Linked DNA regions of Saccharomyces cerevisiae S288C. Changing the gene in region 3 together with the main gene of any one other region gives a genetic interaction. Each region holds a gene or a part of one and is shown on either strand. Other genes may lie near its edges.

What was found.
Region 1: mutations in OAF1 (region 3) and MGA2 together harm fitness more than expected from each alone (negative genetic interaction), as found in Saccharomyces cerevisiae (3 studies listed by BioGRID).
Region 2: mutations in OAF1 (region 3) and PDX1 impair growth when combined (synthetic growth defect), as found in Saccharomyces cerevisiae (one study listed by BioGRID).
Region 4: mutations in OAF1 (region 3) and LPD1 impair growth when combined (synthetic growth defect), as found in Saccharomyces cerevisiae (one study listed by BioGRID).

What each region holds. Positions count from the first base shown.
Region 1 is NC_001141.2:414,375-419,988, reverse strand, and holds MGA2 (Mga2p), read right to left. Parts: upstream 3,866-5,614; coding exon 524-3,865; downstream 1-523. Other genes in the region: LYS1 (saccharopine dehydrogenase (NAD+, L-lysine-forming)), read left to right, coding at 1-374; DAL3 (ureidoglycolate hydrolase), read left to right, coding at 4,372-4,959; malate synthase DAL7, read left to right, coding at 5,310-5,614.
Region 2 is NC_001139.9:883,978-887,768, forward strand, and holds PDX1 (Pdx1p), read right to left. Parts: upstream 1,765-3,791; coding exon 532-1,764; downstream 1-531. Other genes in the region: XKS1 (xylulokinase), read right to left, coding at 2,096-3,791. UniProt on the Saccharomyces cerevisiae protein: Required for anchoring dihydrolipoamide dehydrogenase (E3) to the dihydrolipoamide transacetylase (E2) core of the pyruvate dehydrogenase complexes of eukaryotes. This specific binding is essential for a functional PDH complex.
Region 3 is NC_001133.9:47,026-52,242, reverse strand, and holds OAF1 (oleate-activated transcription factor OAF1), read right to left. Parts: upstream 3,680-5,217; coding exon 536-3,679; downstream 1-535. Other genes in the region: protein AIM2, read left to right, coding at 1-388; flavin adenine dinucleotide transporter FLC2, read right to left, coding at 3,993-5,217. UniProt on the Saccharomyces cerevisiae protein: The PIP2-OAF1 heterodimer acts as a transcriptional activator to induce the transcription of genes encoding proteins involved in fatty acid beta-oxidation, a response called oleic acid induction, when cells grow on fatty acids as sole carbon source.
Region 4 is NC_001138.5:101,112-104,814, forward strand, and holds LPD1 (dihydrolipoyl dehydrogenase), read right to left. Parts: upstream 2,017-3,703; coding exon 517-2,016; downstream 1-516. Other genes in the region: mRNA splicing protein SMX2, read left to right, coding at 2,588-2,821; GNA1 (glucosamine 6-phosphate N-acetyltransferase), read right to left, coding at 2,872-3,351; MDJ1 (Mdj1p), read right to left, coding at 3,590-3,703.

The DNA.
Region 1 (5,614 bases), on a different chromosome or scaffold from region 3:
TATATCTATCGAAGCCAATTGCTCCTTTCACTAACATGGAGAAACTGAATAATCCTAACAGAAGACTAAGGACCGTGGTGGACGTATCAGCAGACACTACCAACCCTCACAACCCCATCCCAATATACACTGTGGCTACTGTGTTTAACAAACCTACCGTTCTGGTACCTACCACTGCCGGGCCTAAATTATCTGTCATCTCTATTGATCACTTGCCTTCTTTGCTGCCAAGAGAAGCTTCAGAATTTTTCTCTCATGATCTCTTACCATCTTTAGAGCTCCTACCTCAAAGAAAAACTGCTCCTGTCTGGGTTAGAGCCAAGAAATTGTTCGATAGACATTGCGCTCGTGTTAAAAGATCTTCAAGATTGTAGTTTACATTTAAAGTATATACATTATCGTTACGCTGACATTTACAAGTTTAATTTTTTTTTGACTTTTTTTAAATGACTTTCTCTTCTTTTAAGTGTACTGTCTTTTCATTATACACACATATATATATATATATACGTAAAAAAGCAGACTAACTGACAATTAAATCGTTCAACATTCTTGTTGTTTGCAGGTTTGATAATTTTGACCTGAATGCAGTTTTCATCCTTTCATTTCCCAGCAAGAACTTTGCTAATGCAATTCTCAAGTACTCTGAGATTAATTCGCTTATATGATTGATGGAACTATCTTGGTTGCCAAATTTGTACATGATGAACCATGTCAAAAGTAGTAGTGTTAAGGGTATCCAGAAAAATATTAACATTTTATCATTTCGGAAGTTTTGTTTGTTTTGGAAGAATCTGTTAAACTGTTTTTTCAAAAATTCTTCCTCTTCCTCATAATCCTCTTCCTCCGAATTTTCAGAGTTTTCAATATTAGATGCTGACTGCTCCACAATACTGTCTTGATTTGTGGTTTTCAATTTATCATCTTTACCCCAAGACAACGGGAACAGATCCTCATATTTTGGTAAGTCATCATTAATTCGATGTAAAACTCTATTCCAGAGAGATGTACTACCATTATCCTCTTCGGGTTCGTTGGCGCTAGATCCAATATCAAGGAGTTCGCTTTGTTCCTCCCTGCATGCAACACCTGGTTTTTCTACTTCGTCAGTGACGAACAGATCTTCATCCCCGTCTTCTTCGAAATCACTTTGGTCGTACTCAGAGTAACTTGAATTCTCAAATAGTTGCAAGGTTGGATGCTGAATCTCCATAGAAGTGGGATTTATCATGCTTTGGCTTTCGAATAAGTTCTCATTCAAAGATTCATTGTCTAGCAGGCTTGAATTGAAACTGGATTGTGAATATTTCCTGCTAATAGAATAATTACTGTCTGTTTCTACACTATCGGTAAACTTCGTACCGTTTTGGAATTCTTCAAACAATGACAATACTTCGCTGATATAAGTGTCATTATGAACAAACTTATGGTTGTCTCTGTTATCTTGTTTTTTGTCTATTTCCTTTGAATGAATGTGGTTTGCTATGAATACTTCTCTTGCAGTTAATCCGTTGTGTGACCTCAGTGAATAATTTACTTTACAATTTAAAAGCATCTTAATAATTTTAGGGTCACCACTTATGCAAGCAAAATGTAATGGAGTTAGCCCAAAGGAATCAATATCGTTAACACGAGCACCCTTTTTAATCAATGTATACACAAGGCTTGAGTAATTTTTCAAACAGGCAAGATGTAATAAAGTTCTCCCTAATGAATCACATATGGAAATATTGGAATTTATGTTCAATGATTTTATAACTTTTTGTATCAAGACTTCATCGGAGTAAAGAACACTTGTGTTCAGATTCATACTGTGTTGGTTTGGAGAGGGACCTGTGCTTTTTGAACAGCTGTTGCCATTTGTACCGCTATCAGGAGAATCATTGCCAACAATCCTCTTCGCGATATTTCTTGCATCTTCTAACTTACCATTCATTTTTAATCCCACAATTTGCAAAGCCAATTCAATCAGTTGCCTATCAGTATCATCAACATAGGTAAATATGGCCTTTTTATTGTCATTGATCTCAATTTCTTGGGGAAGGTCATCGTTATTATTTTCATTATTCGTATCAGTAATAGAGACGAAAACTTGACCCGCGTAGGCAGCGGGAGGGAGATAAGTGACGATCGTGGTCTCACTCCAGCATTGCGTAGAAAGGGCAAGATTAGAGCCGAACTTTACAGAAAGACCATCTTTGAAGTTACAACCCAGTAATGTAACTTCGATACCACCATTGATTGGGCCTTGTGAAGGTATAACGCGATTAATTGATGGCAAATTATTGTTGTTGTTTTTCATTGAGAAATCTTGCATTGAATGTAAAGCTGGATTCATCGTATTTGTTGCACTGATTGAATTTGAAAAGGAATGCTTGAATAGGGGTTTACCAATGTCATTTTCCAAATTATTGCGTGCTCTTTTCCGTTGGTTCAATTGACTCTGTTGTTCAATATTTGTCAAAGAGATAGTACGGACGGGATTGTCATTATCGCGATGATGATAGTTAAATGATTCTGAGCCTTCTTCGCTCATAGATGTTGGTGATGGAATATGCTGATTGGGCAGAGAAAGGTTCAGTGATAAGTTATTGTTCTGAAGCAAATCTGTCTGTTGAGAGATGGAATATGGGAATGGTACGTTTTTGTCTTTCAGTGGAATATTATTCATTTGACTGTCATTATCATATGGGTTGTGTTGATAAGTATATTGAAATGGCATATTTTCGTCTTTGCTCAATTGGTTGTTATCCGTTGAATAATATTCTGTGGTAGATTCTTCTTCCGTTAGCTGCCTTCTGGACGAGGTAGTAGTGTTATTAAACTTGGTGGTATCCATATTTGCTGGTTTTCTATCCGTGATCATAATAGGTGTTGTCGTAAACTTACCCAACAGTCTATTTTGCCAATCTGTTATAGTGAATAATATGACAAAGCCATTATTTGCCTTATGGTGCCTGCAATAACAAACTAGCCTGGTAGTTAATTCAAACTCCTTAACATTATCGAAAGTTTTCATTATGGGGAAAACCTGTTTGTTATTGAACACGACTAACCTTCTATTAATATTATTACACCAGAGTAAATTGTCTGCAATACCTGATTTCCTTCTAGCGGCTCTTCTTTGTTCTCGCTTAACACACTTGGTACAAACATTTGTCGTTCTGTTGCTGACCGCACATAGAACAAACGCATTGATGTACAGAAGATTTTTCTTGAAGTCTTCTGAAAAATCCTCGATATTTTTTTTTAAATAAAACTTTTCTCTTGAAATGGAATCGCTAGGCAAGTAAAGCATGCTTTGGTTTAGTGGTGTTTCAGACGTAATTTTCACTTTCAGTTTCAGTTGATTTTCCACTCTAGATACTTGTGGCAAACCTGAGACCTCTACATCCAAAGGTAGCTGCGCTGCGTTCACTTTAAGGTAATCTAAAGGATTTATGTAAACAGATTGAATCGTCTCCTTTCTTCCAAATACAATCTCGTCATGAGCAGGGTTGCCTATATTTTTTTCATTAAAAACCTTATTTTCATGCTCGTCCTCTTCTTCCTCCTTCAAGGCTCTGTTACTTTCCATTTCCTCCTCCAGTGGAGTGGACACGTTTTGGTTGACATGAGTATTGTTACCGATACCTTCGAAAGACAACAGGTTGGGCGAATCACCCTCATCTGTCTTGATAAAATTTTGGAAATTAGCACCCTCATCAATATTAATATGCGCCATGCTATCATCCTGGTACATGGGAGACCCGTTCAGGAGGAAATCGTCCAAGAGCTGTGATTCCATTACGCTATTCGCGTGCAATTGAGATATATGAGGGTCGCTTCCAGGTGTTTCCGTTAAGAACTCACTGTTCTGCTGCATAACGAAATGTTCTGTTCGCCAAAATGACCTTCAATAAGTGCCTTTAAATGCACAATAAGGGGGGGAAGCAGGATCTAGTCTTAACGACCCCAAGAACGACTGTTGATCAAGCGCCGCTGTCCTTTTAAAAGGCTTTCGGCGGCTGTATTTTCTGGTTTAGAGCTCACCCATTTGAAAATGTTGAGTTTTTTGTCATGATCCACGATATAAAAAGAAATACGACATTTCTAGGGTAACATCAGAATGCCCTTGCTTTTATTGTTAGGGTTATTTTCAAAAGTAGAATTTTGGAAATAAGTCCTAGCCTTTTTGTAACACTAACCCTGAGACAAAGTGCCAGATAAGATAAGATGGATTGGCAAATAAATGGGGAAAGATAAGCGAGGTAAGACTGATAAGAAGCATATGCGGTCTATTCATGTGCATTCGCATATATAAGTCAGTAACTGTCATCCAATCGCTCTTGATGCTTATCTTGTAGGGCAAAAAATCTTTGAAGCAAAGATATGGTGACCGTGGTGGCGGAGACATTGACGAAAGAGTCCTTCGAGGAGTATGGGACGATAATTTCGCCAGATGAAGAGATTTCAAGGATGCAAAACCTTGAAAAAGGTGCAAACCAGGGAACAGCGATCAAATTGCTTCAAGTAAGCCAGGTAGAGAATAAATCTACCAGTAAAGTTCCCAATTGGAACCTATTCCGTTGCTTTCCACAGCCGCACCTGAATAGAGTATTCACTCAAGGCTCCAATCAGGCGATTTCTCATTCTATCAAAGTCCTCGAAAAGCATCCGTGTAGTACGCAGACGTTTGTGCCTATGGGGAGAACGTCAGCGGAAGTAGCATACTTGGTAGTAGTCGCTAAAGAAATTGGAAATAAGCCAGACTTGTCTACGTTGAGGGCTTTTACATGTTTGGGTAATCAGGCCGTTACCTATGGCTTAGGTACCTGGCATGCGCCCATGATAGTACTTGGCAAGGAAGAACATTTGGATTTTTCAGTCTTAATCTACGAAAGTCTGGACCCTGACAGGCCCGAGAAGGACTGTGTGGAAGAACACTACAGCGATGGCGACGTTTGTATTATCATCTAATTCTGCGACTGTGGGCGAAGTAAATATGTAAATGTTCATGTATTAGTAATTTCATAGGTTTACGATTATCGACATAAAATCTCCGCTGAAAGTTGCGGTGCGATAGAATACCGCGGATTTTGGAAAATTGCGTTTGCTTTTCTTATCACATAAATTGAATTTCATAAGTTTTGGCTTATCTTGGATAAGGTACATCGTGAAAGTATCACAAAGATTGGATAGTTTCGTCAATTGGTGAAGCAATAAGTATAAAATGGGGACATTTACGCATGTAGTCTTAATTCTTCACTTTCTGTGCAGTTGATATCACTTAGAGTATGTGTCATAGGCACGGTAAAGAGCACTGAACAATGGTGAAGATAAGCTTGGACAACACTGCTCTATACGCAGACATCGACACGACTCCTCAATTTGAACCTTCCAAAACTACTGTAGCTGATATTTTAACAAAAGATGCCTTAGAGTTCATTGTTTTGCTGCATAGAACTTTCAATTCAACACGGAAACAGCTTTTAGCCAACAGAAGCAATTTACAATCAAAGTTAGACTCTGGTGAATACCGATTTGATTTCTTGCCGGAAACCGAACAAATCAGGAACGATCCTACATGGCAAGGTGCTATCCCAGCCCCTGGTTTGATCAACAGATCCAGCGA
Region 2 (3,791 bases), on a different chromosome or scaffold from region 3:
TCAGGGAACTGGTTTCAACCTTTTTTTTCAGCTTTTTCCAAATCAGAGAGAGCAGAAGGTAATAGAAGGTGTAAGAAAATGAGATAGATACATGCGTGGGTCAATTGCCTTGTGTCATCATTTACTCCAGGCAGGTTGCATCACTCCATTGAGGTTGTGCCCGTTTTTTGCCTGTTTGTGCCCCTGTTCTCTGTAGTTGCGCTAAGAGAATGGACCTATGAACTGATGGTTGGTGAAGAAAACAATATTTTGGTGCTGGGATTCTTTTTTTTTCTGGATGCCAGCTTAAAAAGCGGGCTCCATTATATTTAGTGGATGCCAGGAATAAACTGTTCACCCAGACACCTACGATGTTATATATTCTGTGTAACCCGCCCCCTATTTTGGGCATGTACGGGTTACAGCAGAATTAAAAGGCTAATTTTTTGACTAAATAAAGTTAGGAAAATCACTACTATTAATTATTTACGTATTCTTTGAAATGGCAGTATTGATAATGATAAACTCGAACTGAAAAAGCGTGTTTTTTATTCAAAATGATTCTAACTCCCTTACGTAATCAAGGAATCTTTTTGCCTTGGCCTCCGCGTCATTAAACTTCTTGTTGTTGACGCTAACATTCAACGCTAGTATATATTCGTTTTTTTCAGGTAAGTTCTTTTCAACGGGTCTTACTGATGAGGCAGTCGCGTCTGAACCTGTTAAGAGGTCAAATATGTCTTCTTGACCGTACGTGTCTTGCATGTTATTAGCTTTGGGAATTTGCATCAAGTCATAGGAAAATTTAAATCTTGGCTCTCTTGGGCTCAAGGTGACAAGGTCCTCGAAAATAGGGTCAAAGTATTTCGAATTTGTGTCCATTAGTGGTGTTCCGTGTGAGAACTGGTAAGCTTCTTTCATGAAAGAGTTCAATGATTCACTCAGTTTGTCAAACGGAATAGAGGCGGGAGCATGGAACACTAATTGCTCTTCAAATTCTACAGGAGTAATCTTTGGCTTGTCGGCAGCTTTTGTTTGAGCTTGCTCGGCTATTTTTGGTTTGAGCTGTATAGGTTTAATGTTCGATAAATCGAGACGTTCGTTCTTCTTGATAAATTCTGTTACCTTGTTAACCGAATCTTGTGGTATTTTCCCTAGGTATGCTAGCACATCACCCTTTAATAGTCTACCGTTGGAACCAGATGGCGCAATTTCCTTCAAAGCCTTTTGTTTGGATATATTGTTCTCAGCCAGTAGTAATGACACGGATGGTAATAGCGTCTGTTCAAGATTGGCTTGGCTGCCGTCAACGGTTTTTATTGGTGTAACTGTGGCTTTTTTTAAATGTTGTTGTGTTGCTTCAGTACTATCTGCGGATGGCTTCTTAATTTCAATAGATTTCGCATTTGCGGTGTTGGCCTCTTGGGGTAACTTTATAGTAGCTAAATCATCATCAACATCAGCAATATAAGCAATAGGTTCACCAACATCAACATCTTTAGAGCCTTCATCTTTCAGGATCTTAGCTAGTTTACCATCGTCCAGTGCTTCCACATCAATTTGAGATTTATCTGTTTCCACTTCTAATATCACATCGCCCGCGCTGAATGGTTCGCCAACTTTATATTTCCAAGACACAATCCCCCCTTTCTCCATAGTAGGAGACATTGCAGGCATTGAAAATGTCTTTACAGCAAGTAATTTAGCTGATGCATGATAGTTGCATTTGGTTAAATATCTTGTACATGATTTTAAAGTGGAGACTTTGGAAATTGCACTTAGCATTTTTGAATTTTTCCCTCGAGATGATTTAACAATAACCTAGCTCTTTCAATGCTCTCTTATATTCTCACTGGAAAGCGCTAATTTGATTTGTCTCTCTCGTTGCTGGTCGCTCACCCTTTCATAAATTGTTTTTTACTCTTCATTTATTGATTTTACTTTTTGTCATTTTCCGAACGGGGAACAAAATGATGACTACTTGCTACAGTATACGAAACATACAAGGGCATTGTCATGTGCACGCATAATAACGGTGATATATATATATGTATGTATATTATGTGTCTGTGTTTGTGTGTACTTGTCAGGGCATGATAAATTATTCAAACATATTTTAGATGAGAGTCTTTTCCAGTTCGCTTAAGGGGACAATCTTGGAATTATAGCGATCCCAATTTTCATTATCCACATCGGATATGCTTTCCATTACATGCCATGGAAAATTGTCATTCAGAAATTTATCAAAAGGAACTGCAATTTTATTAGAGTCATATAACAATGACCACATGGCCTTATAACAACCACCAAGGGCACATGAGTTTGGTGTTTCTAGCCTAAAATTACCCTTTGTAGCACCAATGACTTGAGCAAACTTCTTCACAATAGCATCGTTTTTAGAAGCCCCACCTACAAAAAAAGTCCTTTCTGGCCTTTTATTTAGGTAGTCCCGCAGCGGAGATTCATCGTAATCAAACTTCACGATTGTATCTTCGTTCAGTCTCTGTTGTGAGCTTGCGTTTGAATCCGAAAGCAGGGGAGATATTCTTACCCTGCAACTTAAAGCCTGTGATTCTACAATATTTTTGGCATCGTGCCTCTTGTCTTTGAACTTGGCCACCTCTCTTTCAATCATACCCGTTTTTGGATTGAAGATAACCCTTTTGTTTATGGCTTTTACGCTAGGAACGATCTCCCCCAGAGGAAAATATACACCTAATTCATTTTCACTACTTTCTGAGTCATCTAGCACAGCTTGATTAAAAAGAGTCCAATCGTTAGTCTTCTCATAATTATTTTCCCGTTCTTTGTTTAACTCGTCTCTTATCCTCTCCCTTGCCAAAGAACCATTACAATAACAAATCATACCCATATAATGGTTTGGCAGAGTTGGATGAATGAAAAGATGATAGTTCGGAGAGGGGTGATACTTATCGGTGACCAGAAGAACTGTAGTACTTGTTCCTAGGGAAACGAGAACGTCATTCTTCCGCAGGGGTAAAGAACATATAGTGGCTAAATTATCCCCAGTCATGGGAGAGACCTTGCAGTTTGTATTGAAACCGTACTTCTCAATAAAATATTTACAGATGGTACCCGCTATCAAATTTTTCATGGGTGCTCTCATTAATTTTTGTCTGATAGTTTTATCCTTAGAAGAACTATCAATTAGATGTAGTAGCTCATCACTGAATTTTCTTTCACGTATATCATAAAGGTTCATACCACAGGCATCTGCCTCCTCTAATTCAACAAGATGGCCCACTAAGATAGAAGTCAAAAAATTAGACACTAAAGAAATGGTCTTTGTTTTTTCGTAAGCTTCTGGTTCTAATTGTGCAATTTTCAGAATTTGAGGACCAGTAAATCTAAAATGGGCTCTGGACCCTGTTAATTGAGCCATTTTTTCAGGCCCACCTATGCACTCTTCAAACTCTTGACATTGCTTTGCAGTACTGTGGTCTTGCCAATTGGGGGCGGTTTGCCTTGCAAATGCTACAGAGCTCACGTAGTGCAATAAATCTTTTTCCGGTTTCTTATTCAATTGCTCTAACAGAGATTCGGCTTGGGAGGACCAGTAGACAGACCCGTGCTGCTGGCAGGACCCTGAGACGGCCATAACTTTGTTCAATGGAAATTTAGCCTCGCGATATTTCGAGAGAACCAGATCTAGAGCCTCTAACCACATGGCTACGGGACATTCGATAGTGTCGCCGTGTATATAGACACCCTTCTTTGTGTGATAATGCGGAAGATCCTTTTCAAATTCCACTGTTTCTGAATGGACAATTTTTAGGTCCTGGTTAATGGCG
Region 3 (5,217 bases):
ATATGACCCAAAGTTTATTGGCGTTGTGGGTTACTGTTTTGGTGCAAAGTTTGCCGTCCAACACATTAGTGGCGACGGGGGTCTTGCCAATGCTGCAGCCATTGCACATCCATCTTTCGTCAGCATCGAGGAAATTGAAGCAATTGATAGCAAGAAACCAATATTGATTTCAGCAGCGGAAGAGGATCACATCTTTCCGGCAAACTTAAGACACTTAACGGAGGAAAAATTAAAGGATAATCACGCTACTTACCAGTTAGACCTCTTCAGTGGTGTGGCTCACGGGTTTGCAGCAAGAGGCGATATATCCATACCTGCCGTAAAATATGCGAAGGAGAAAGTCTTGCTCGACCAAATATACTGGTTCAATCATTTTTCGAATGTTTAAGAGGGAAGAGCTCTTCTTACGTTAACCGTTATATACATATATATATATATTGAGCACTTTATATTATCGGTCAGTTTCATAAATTCGTGGCTATATAATATTAATTAATTGATGAAATGAATAGGTAGGAGTTTGGAAAGAAAATTTTTAAGCAAAGTCATTGCCAAACAAAAAGTCATAATCAAATAAATCCAAACCTCCAAAATAACCTGGAAAAGGAGTATTATTCGCTTGGCCTCTATCGAAACCATTAGGAAGTTGTGATCCAGATGAGTTATCGACAATTGGTGTAGCATTGATTGAATTGTTCAAGTTATTCATCCCGGCTATTGGCGTTTGCTCTTTTGAACCACCACCCGCCAAAGGACCCTGACGTAAACCACTGTTGTAGTCCAAGCTCTGACCAACTGCAGCGGCCGATGATAGTTTTTCTAAATTATCTAAGGATGAACTCCATGTCTTTGTGAAGGTAGGAACAGCATTTCCGAATGGTTCGCCGTTGGTTAAGTCAATTGTGTTTACAGGCGGCTTCAATCCTGAAGAAATTTGAATCTCTTTTTTGATATTACGGTTCAGCTCATCTATATCTTCAACGCTAAAATTCGCAACGTGATTGCATGCCATCAATTCCTCTAATAGCCTATCCTTTTTGTCCAGTTTGACTCCTAAGGTAATGCTTAATGTCTTGATTATCCTAGAATGCATTTGTTCCATTTGAATCATCGTAAATATGCCGTGCCATAATTCACCCTTTCTCATCCTTTGTACAATGACATCGAATAAAGCCAACATCTTAAAAACGGGGAAGTATGTGAATCTTAAATGTTCCGAAGCAGAGCAATATATACCTTCTAAAGCAGACTCGAGATCTCTTTGCAGGGTACTAAATTTTTCGACTTTGGTATTTAACTCCTTTATTCTTGGATCTGTCGTTCCCGATAACTTTTGTACTTCAGAAGATAACATATGGATGGCTAAACCTATTCTTAGTATAATCCCTAATAGGCTGAAGATTGTGCTGGATAGTGCTAACTGAATAAATTTTGTAACATTAAAACTGGTTAAAGAAGATATTGCGTGTCGATATTCTCCGTTGAAAAACTTATTGAAATAATTTATTAGTGACAACGCATCCATACAGCTAACCATAAAGTATTTCTTGTAGAATGGGAAGATACTTTTATCCTTAGTGATAAGTGTTTCAAAATGCAAGAATACGGCCATTGAAGTTCTCAACATCAATAGTTTATTCATTATTCGATTGTGAAATGAAGAAGAATTTTCTGAAGATAATATATTCATTTCTGAAATCACATTCATGTCATCAAGGTCTGACTTATCCTGTGCGACACTTTTTAATGGTACTATGGGAAAGTTTTCCTCCACAAAAATCTCAATCTTTTCTCTTATGAATTCAATTGAATGCAAATGGAAACTACCATAGTATGTCATCGTCAAGTTATCTAAGTCCGACAGGAGTAACGCAAGCTGGGCTCTCTTGAATGTAAATTTATGAATTCTCAAAAGTTTGTGATTATTGATATCGCTTAGATCGCCCCTAACTCGGTTCATATATACCGTCAGAGAATCAGGATCCTTAATATTTAGGAATAAGGCCATTAAAGATATCGGTGAGACAGAATGTCTACCTTTGAGACTTGCTTCAAACGAACAAACGGTAACGATACTCAACCAGAGTATTCTTCTGTGATTCAAGGTTCTTTTATCTGAGGTGGACGGGGAAATCAATTGAGGGAAATCTGAAGGATCTCTGTGGAGACCAATCGAGGTGGAAAGCATCATTATCAAACTACTGATAACATCGGTGGGGTGCTCGAGAAAGAAATCACCCTCTTCAGGAGAAAAAGCAAAAAAAGACCAGATATATAGTAAACATGATATGATGTTTTCATTAGCGCATGCACACCAATTTTCCGATGCTAGACATCTTTGACTCAATAAAATAAAATCGTTCGGTATTGGGTATTTATCAATTATTTCCTTTGAAAGATAAAAACTCGAGTCTGCTGTACTATGATCTAAAAACCTTATTGACATGTATGAGAGTTTCAAGATAACCAATAGAAGACTCAAGTTTTCCACCTTAGCTCTCAAATGTGTGCTACCCATACGTATTTGCACCTTGGAGGGGTTGTTTGGGTCCGGAAAAATTGTTTGACTTAATGATTCTTCAAAAATTTCTAATTCGATGAAAGGTAGACTTGGATAAACGTACTCATAAAAGTGGTTCTTGTAGCGTTCAATAATTTCGTAAGATGGCAAAATAGCTTCACATTCATTGATCAAATTTCTCAATAAATCCGAATATTCGCCACCTTGAGGGCAATGATCCTCCAGATATTGGTAACCGACAGAATTGTAAAGCATTGATAATAGCATACCGATTTTCAAGTTTCTATTTGAATTTGTATTTTGTAGTATTCTATCAGTGAATTCGTTTACACGATTTTTTTCATCTTCGGTTTGACACTGTCTGATTAGCATTTCCTTCAATTTCAAAAGGTTATTTGCTACGCTAGGCTGGGCTCTTGTAATATTCGCGTTTGCCGTCAATGCCGGTATCATCGTGTTCTTTGAAGTGTCAAGGAACACTGAAGTGACCAGGATTTTTAGAAAACAGTCCTGAATTATAATATAATTTTCAGATAACGGCTTAACTTCTCTTTTCATGACTTTACTCATGATCATGGTTGGATGACTTCTATACAAGTTGATTTCAATATCATTTCTGGTACCATTGTTTATATCCCCGTTACCACTTTGTTCATATATAGGTTCCATTTTATGCTGCTTCTTGGTATCAGGACTGTCCCCGCTAGCATTGTTTGTATTGATCGGACTTGCTGATCTCTTGCCTGATTCATTCACCTCTCTCTCTGTTAGTAGCTTCATAGCTTTATCTTTCCAATAAAACATATCTTTTTCCAACCTTGATATAATGGCGTCTTTACTCGGAATTCGTGGTGCTGGCTGTTTTGATACGTCATAAACACATTTTAACCCATGCTTGACGCATCGACCACATTCAGGTTTTTCTCTATCACACTTTGTTTTTGACTTCCTACAAGCCTGGCAGACAAACAATATTCTATTTCTTTTCCTATTATGTGTTTCGGAGTTCTCGGGGGCAGGCGATGTGCTTGAGTGCTCAGCTTCTAATCCAGGCGTTGGGTTATTGAACCCTAAGAAAAACGCCTCCGAATATGGCTTGGTAGAGCTATTATCATCATTTCCGGCATGTGGGGCCTTCTGCGTACTATTTTCGACCATGACTTACGCAACCTAATCTATTATTAACCTGCTTCTAACACAAAATAGCCAACAGTAAATCCCTTCTGGAGGATCTGTTTCCTTCTCTACACGTCAAAAAAGATGTCAGAAAAAAGCGGCAATTGCGTACATTTAAGGAAGCAGAGCCAAAGCGAATTTCACATTTAAGGTTTTTATCGCTGAAATATGTGTGGTGTTGGGATGTAATGGAGATAATACACCTTTTTGAGCGGTTTTCTATGAAATATAATGTAGGATATCCTTGCCCTTAAATATTTATATAATAAGTTGTTACATGTGAGTATATATTGGATTACAAATATGGGTTGTTGTTGCGGGCGTTTTCGTTGCTGCCGTTGTTGTTAAAATGCGAATATGATTTATTGGAATTCCCCAGGTAGAGACTTGATTCAGGCTTCATTAAACTGGAGGTGCTTGTATTATTCGGCGCTAGATTAGTACGAGAAGCAGATGACGCACGTTGGTACTGTGGAGACAAGAAGCTGCCACCCGTACCCATGACAGCGGAGGTTGGTTGCACAGGTTGCTCCGTTACTTCCGAGGCATCGAAGGGAGAGGAATTTTGCTTAAAAGAGGATGAACTAGTCTCATCATCAAAGAGTCTTGCTGTATTTGTGTTTGCATTCAGGTTCTTGCCGAAAGTGTCGTCACGGAACATTTTTTCTTCCTCATTTTCATTGGTGTCCATAACAGCTTTTCTCAATTCAAACAGTTCAGAATCATTTTTGTTTTTGCCATCGAAATCATTTTGAATCTTAGGAATGAATGACACACGGTCATCTTTCATTGGTTGGTAACGGACATCTGGGTTTCTGTGTAGTAATGCCAGTGTACAGGTGACAATAGTGAACAATAATAGGAATAGAGCAAACACCGCGTTCAAAACGAACAGAATAACCGCCATCACTGACGAAACCACTGCTGGTTGCTTGAACAAATTACTGAAAAACAAAAAGAAAAATGCATTGATCAAATTCACCAAATGAATAGCAATATTGAAAACATTAGTTCTCTTGTCCAAATATGGTCTTATCCAACAGAGACAAACGAAGTAAGCTAGTTCAATGACAAAGATGATCATTGCTTGAGCCTTACCTTGGTTTTGTAAAACGGCAACAAACAGGGATCTTAAGAACGCATAACTTAATAAGGGTAAAAGCCACCAAAACTTATCTGCTTTGAATTGAACGTATAAGAACCCAAACTTGTTCAAGAAGTAGGTATCACTGTAAAGTAGGTACGCAGGATTCTTGTATAATCTGAGAGACTCTCTTCCCTTGATGAAAACCCTTATAGTTCCATAAACCAGAAGTCCCGTGATGATCAGTAATATTACTACCGCATCAACAACAATCGCTGGAGAGTTGACCTGAGTAAATTCCCAAATCGCCAGAAGAGAAACTTGAGGGAAGGCGATGATAGATAATCTGAAAAGGGTGCCTTTGATAATACTCCCCCAGTTCTTCCTATATTGGAAGAAATTGGAAGTCTCTTTCAATATTCTTGCTCTTGTAAGA
Region 4 (3,703 bases), on a different chromosome or scaffold from region 3:
TGGTAGCAAACGTAGTGGTCATCCATATGAATATATGAGCAAGAAATAAACGTGAACATGTAAAATAGTAATACAGACACCATAATGTACAGGTTAATCCTGATATGTTTCTCGAATGAAATCGGGAAGACTAATAGGAGGCTCAATTCTATATTCACTCACGTTATGCGCCTGAATTTGAATGGATATTGTTGATAGAAGATTCCCTTTAATCACTCTCCTATATAAATATTTCTGTTTTTCTTATTAACGCAACAATAATTCGGGCGTGTGGTCTAGTGGTATGATTCTCGCTTTGGGCGACTTCCTGAATAAACAGGAAGACAAAGCATGCGAGAGGCCCTGGGTTCAATTCCCAGCTCGCCCCCTTTTTTTTGCATATCTGGTCATAATATCTTATCTGATCGACTAGTAGTTTCCTCATATATTAATTCCTTGTGCAATTTTTTTTTACTTACTCAATACTAAGCGGTTCTTCATAAATATATATACTATACTGTTTATTATTTCCTGTTTTCAACAATGAATAGCTTTATCATAGGCAGCCATGTTAGCTTCCTTAAATGCTTCGGACAAAGTAGGATGAGCATGGCAGACCCTAGCAACATCTTCTGCGGAAGCGCCATATTCTAAGGCTAAGCCAGCTTCAGCAATCATTTCACCGGCATTTGGACCGATAATGTGAGCCCCCAAAATACGCTCGGTCTTGGAATCGATCAAAATCTTCACGAAACCTTCAGTGTCTTGGTTGGTCTTGGCTCTTGAATTGGCCGCAAAGGGGAACTTACCAATTTTATAGTCAATGCCGGCTTCTTTCAATTGCTCTTCGGTTTTACCAACCCATGCTACTTCTGGGTGAGAATACATGACCGAAGGAATGTTGTTATAGTTGACATGACCGTGACCAGTTTTCAACATTTCGACAGCTGCAATACCTTCCTCTTCGGCTTTGTGAGCCAGCATTGGACCAAATGTAACATCTCCTACCACTTTAATGTGTGGGAACTTGGAATTAAATTGGTCATCAATGACTAGGCGTCCCCTTTTGTCTACTTCTAATCCAATCTTTTCAGCCCCTAAGCCAGCAATGTAAGGTCTTCTACCAACAGCAACCAGCAAAACTTCAGCTTCCAAATTTTCTTGCTTATTCGTTTTAGTATCTTCTACAACAATTTCGACGACGTTCTTGTCGTCGTTTCTCTTTGCAGAAATAACTTTGGTGCTTAATTTGAAGTCCAAACCTTGCTTTTTCAAGAACTTTTGGGTGGCTTTGGCAACCTCGCCGTCCATAGATGCACCAATTTGAGGTTGAAATTCTACTACAGTAACCTTGGAGCCTAATCTAGAGTAAACTGAACCCATTTCCAATCCGATGATTCCTCCACCAATGATGGTTAATCTTTTGGGAATTTCCTTTAACGAAAGAGCACCTGTTGAAGAGACAATTTTTTCCTCATCTATTTCAATACCGGGGAAGGGTGTAACTTCAGAGCCCGTGGCGACTATGATGTTCTTAACATCTAGTATGTGGTCTTCCTTGACAGTGCCTTCCAACCCATCAACGGGAGTTACTCTGATCTTCGTTTCGTCTTCGAATGAACCATTACCTTTATAATAGGTGACCTTATTTTTCTTGAACAGAAGCTCAATACCTCCAGTTAATTGCTTAACAGCGTCATCCTTAGCCTTTTGGAAGTTTGCTACGTTAATTTTGATATCACCGTTGACGTCAATACCTCTCTTTTGCGCTTCCGTATGCATTTGGTGGAATAAATGAGAATTATTTAGAAGTGCTTTGGAGGGGATACATCCAACGTTAAGACAGGTACCGCCTAATTTGCCTCTTTTTTCTACACATGCAGTGTTAAATCCCAATTGAGCAGCTTTGATAGCAGCCACGTAACCAGCAGGGCCACCACCGATGATGACTACATCATGTGACTTGTTAATGGTCAATGTCCTGACTGTGGACGAAAAGGCACGCTTATTATTTAGGAGTGATCTGATTCTTAACATTGTGAACTGTTAGTATGTTCTTTGATGGTACGACAGAGACAATCGAACAAAACCGTATATATATAAATATACGTTATATGTATATATATATCTATATATATTCGAGGTGAGTCAAAGGGTACGAATTATCATCAAATTGTTTATTAGCATTATAATACACTAAGTTTCCATTAAGTTGCTCCGCGGAGACTTCTCGCCAATGAGGGAACAGCCGTTCGAGATGATAAAGTATTCTAAAAACGAGTCATCATTAAAAACGATTCACGTGATATTCACGTGCATAAACCATTAGTAAGTATATATTTTTAGTGGGATATATGAGGGTACATTGCATCATGACTATTCGTGGTAGTCACGCATACGTTTGTCAGTGGCATTGTTCGAGTATTCCTCTGTTCTTCATTTCCCTTTTTTCCTATAGCCTCGCCTACGCTCTTTCACGTTTGTGCTGATAGAAACAATGTGGTAAGAAAAATTAAATCTCTAAAGGTGCAATGAATGTATAAGAAAGTACAACGCATATAGAGTATCCGGCATAGGACAGGATTACGCAAACACACGCACAGATACAATGGTTTCTACCCCTGAACTGAAGAAATATATGGACAAGAAGATATTGCTGAATATAAATGGATCTAGGAAAGTGGCAGGAATTTTGCGAGGCTACGATATTTTCTTAAACGTCGTTCTTGATGATGCAATGGAGATAAATGGTGAAGACCCTGCCAATAACCACCAGCTAGGCTTGCAGACCGTCATTAGGGGCAACTCCATAATATCCCTAGAGGCTCTAGATGCCATATAAAATTATATATATATATATATATGTCGACCTCTATGTACTATACAGCAATACTATTTTCTAATTTGCATTTCCACGCCTGCGTTGCTAAACCCACATTTTTCATAGAATTTGACATTTTTCTCATCGCAATCTAAAATAATCTTATAACAACCGTAGTCAAAGCCGATAGTTACCAATTGATCAATCAAGAGCTTGCCCAAACCTTGGCCCTGATACTTGGAGTTTACTGCAATGTCCTCGATGTGGCCACATAGCCCCAGTTCATGAATGATCTTTCTTTCGATGATGATATTCCCCGTAGCGGCAACCGTCTCGGTGCGCTTGTCCACAATCACCATGGGGTTATATTGCATTATTTTTTTATCTTCGTTATCATTCCATACTGTGGCTTCATTCCAGTATTTTATGAGTTTGCTGAAGGATTCGGGGGTAATAGTGCCCACGGTGGTCAAAACCTTTAGCGTCTCAGTGACCTGTTCCAAATCCCCCTCTTCCATTCGCCTTATATAAAATCCATCGGGTAAGCTCATTATTTTATGTTGATATCCAGCTTCCGTTCGTCAACTATTCTCTCGAGCTCAGTTTTGGGTTTTGGCATGTAAACAATGCCTTCGCTTGTATTACGCAAAAAAAAAAAAAATAAATAAAAAAAAAAAAAAAAAAATAAGGTATAAATCGTTGGTTCTTTTATGCACAATTATTTAACTATAGTTATCTATTTACGTAAAGGCTTCTATTTTTCCTTATCTACAAGAAATTGCATGAAGTTTAATTTTTTTTGTCACCTTTGATCTTCCTGAATGTGTTGGTAATGAAATTTTCTAGTCTCTTCAAAGTGTTGTCGTCATCCTTTTTTGCGTGTTTTTCCTCTTCTTGTTTTTG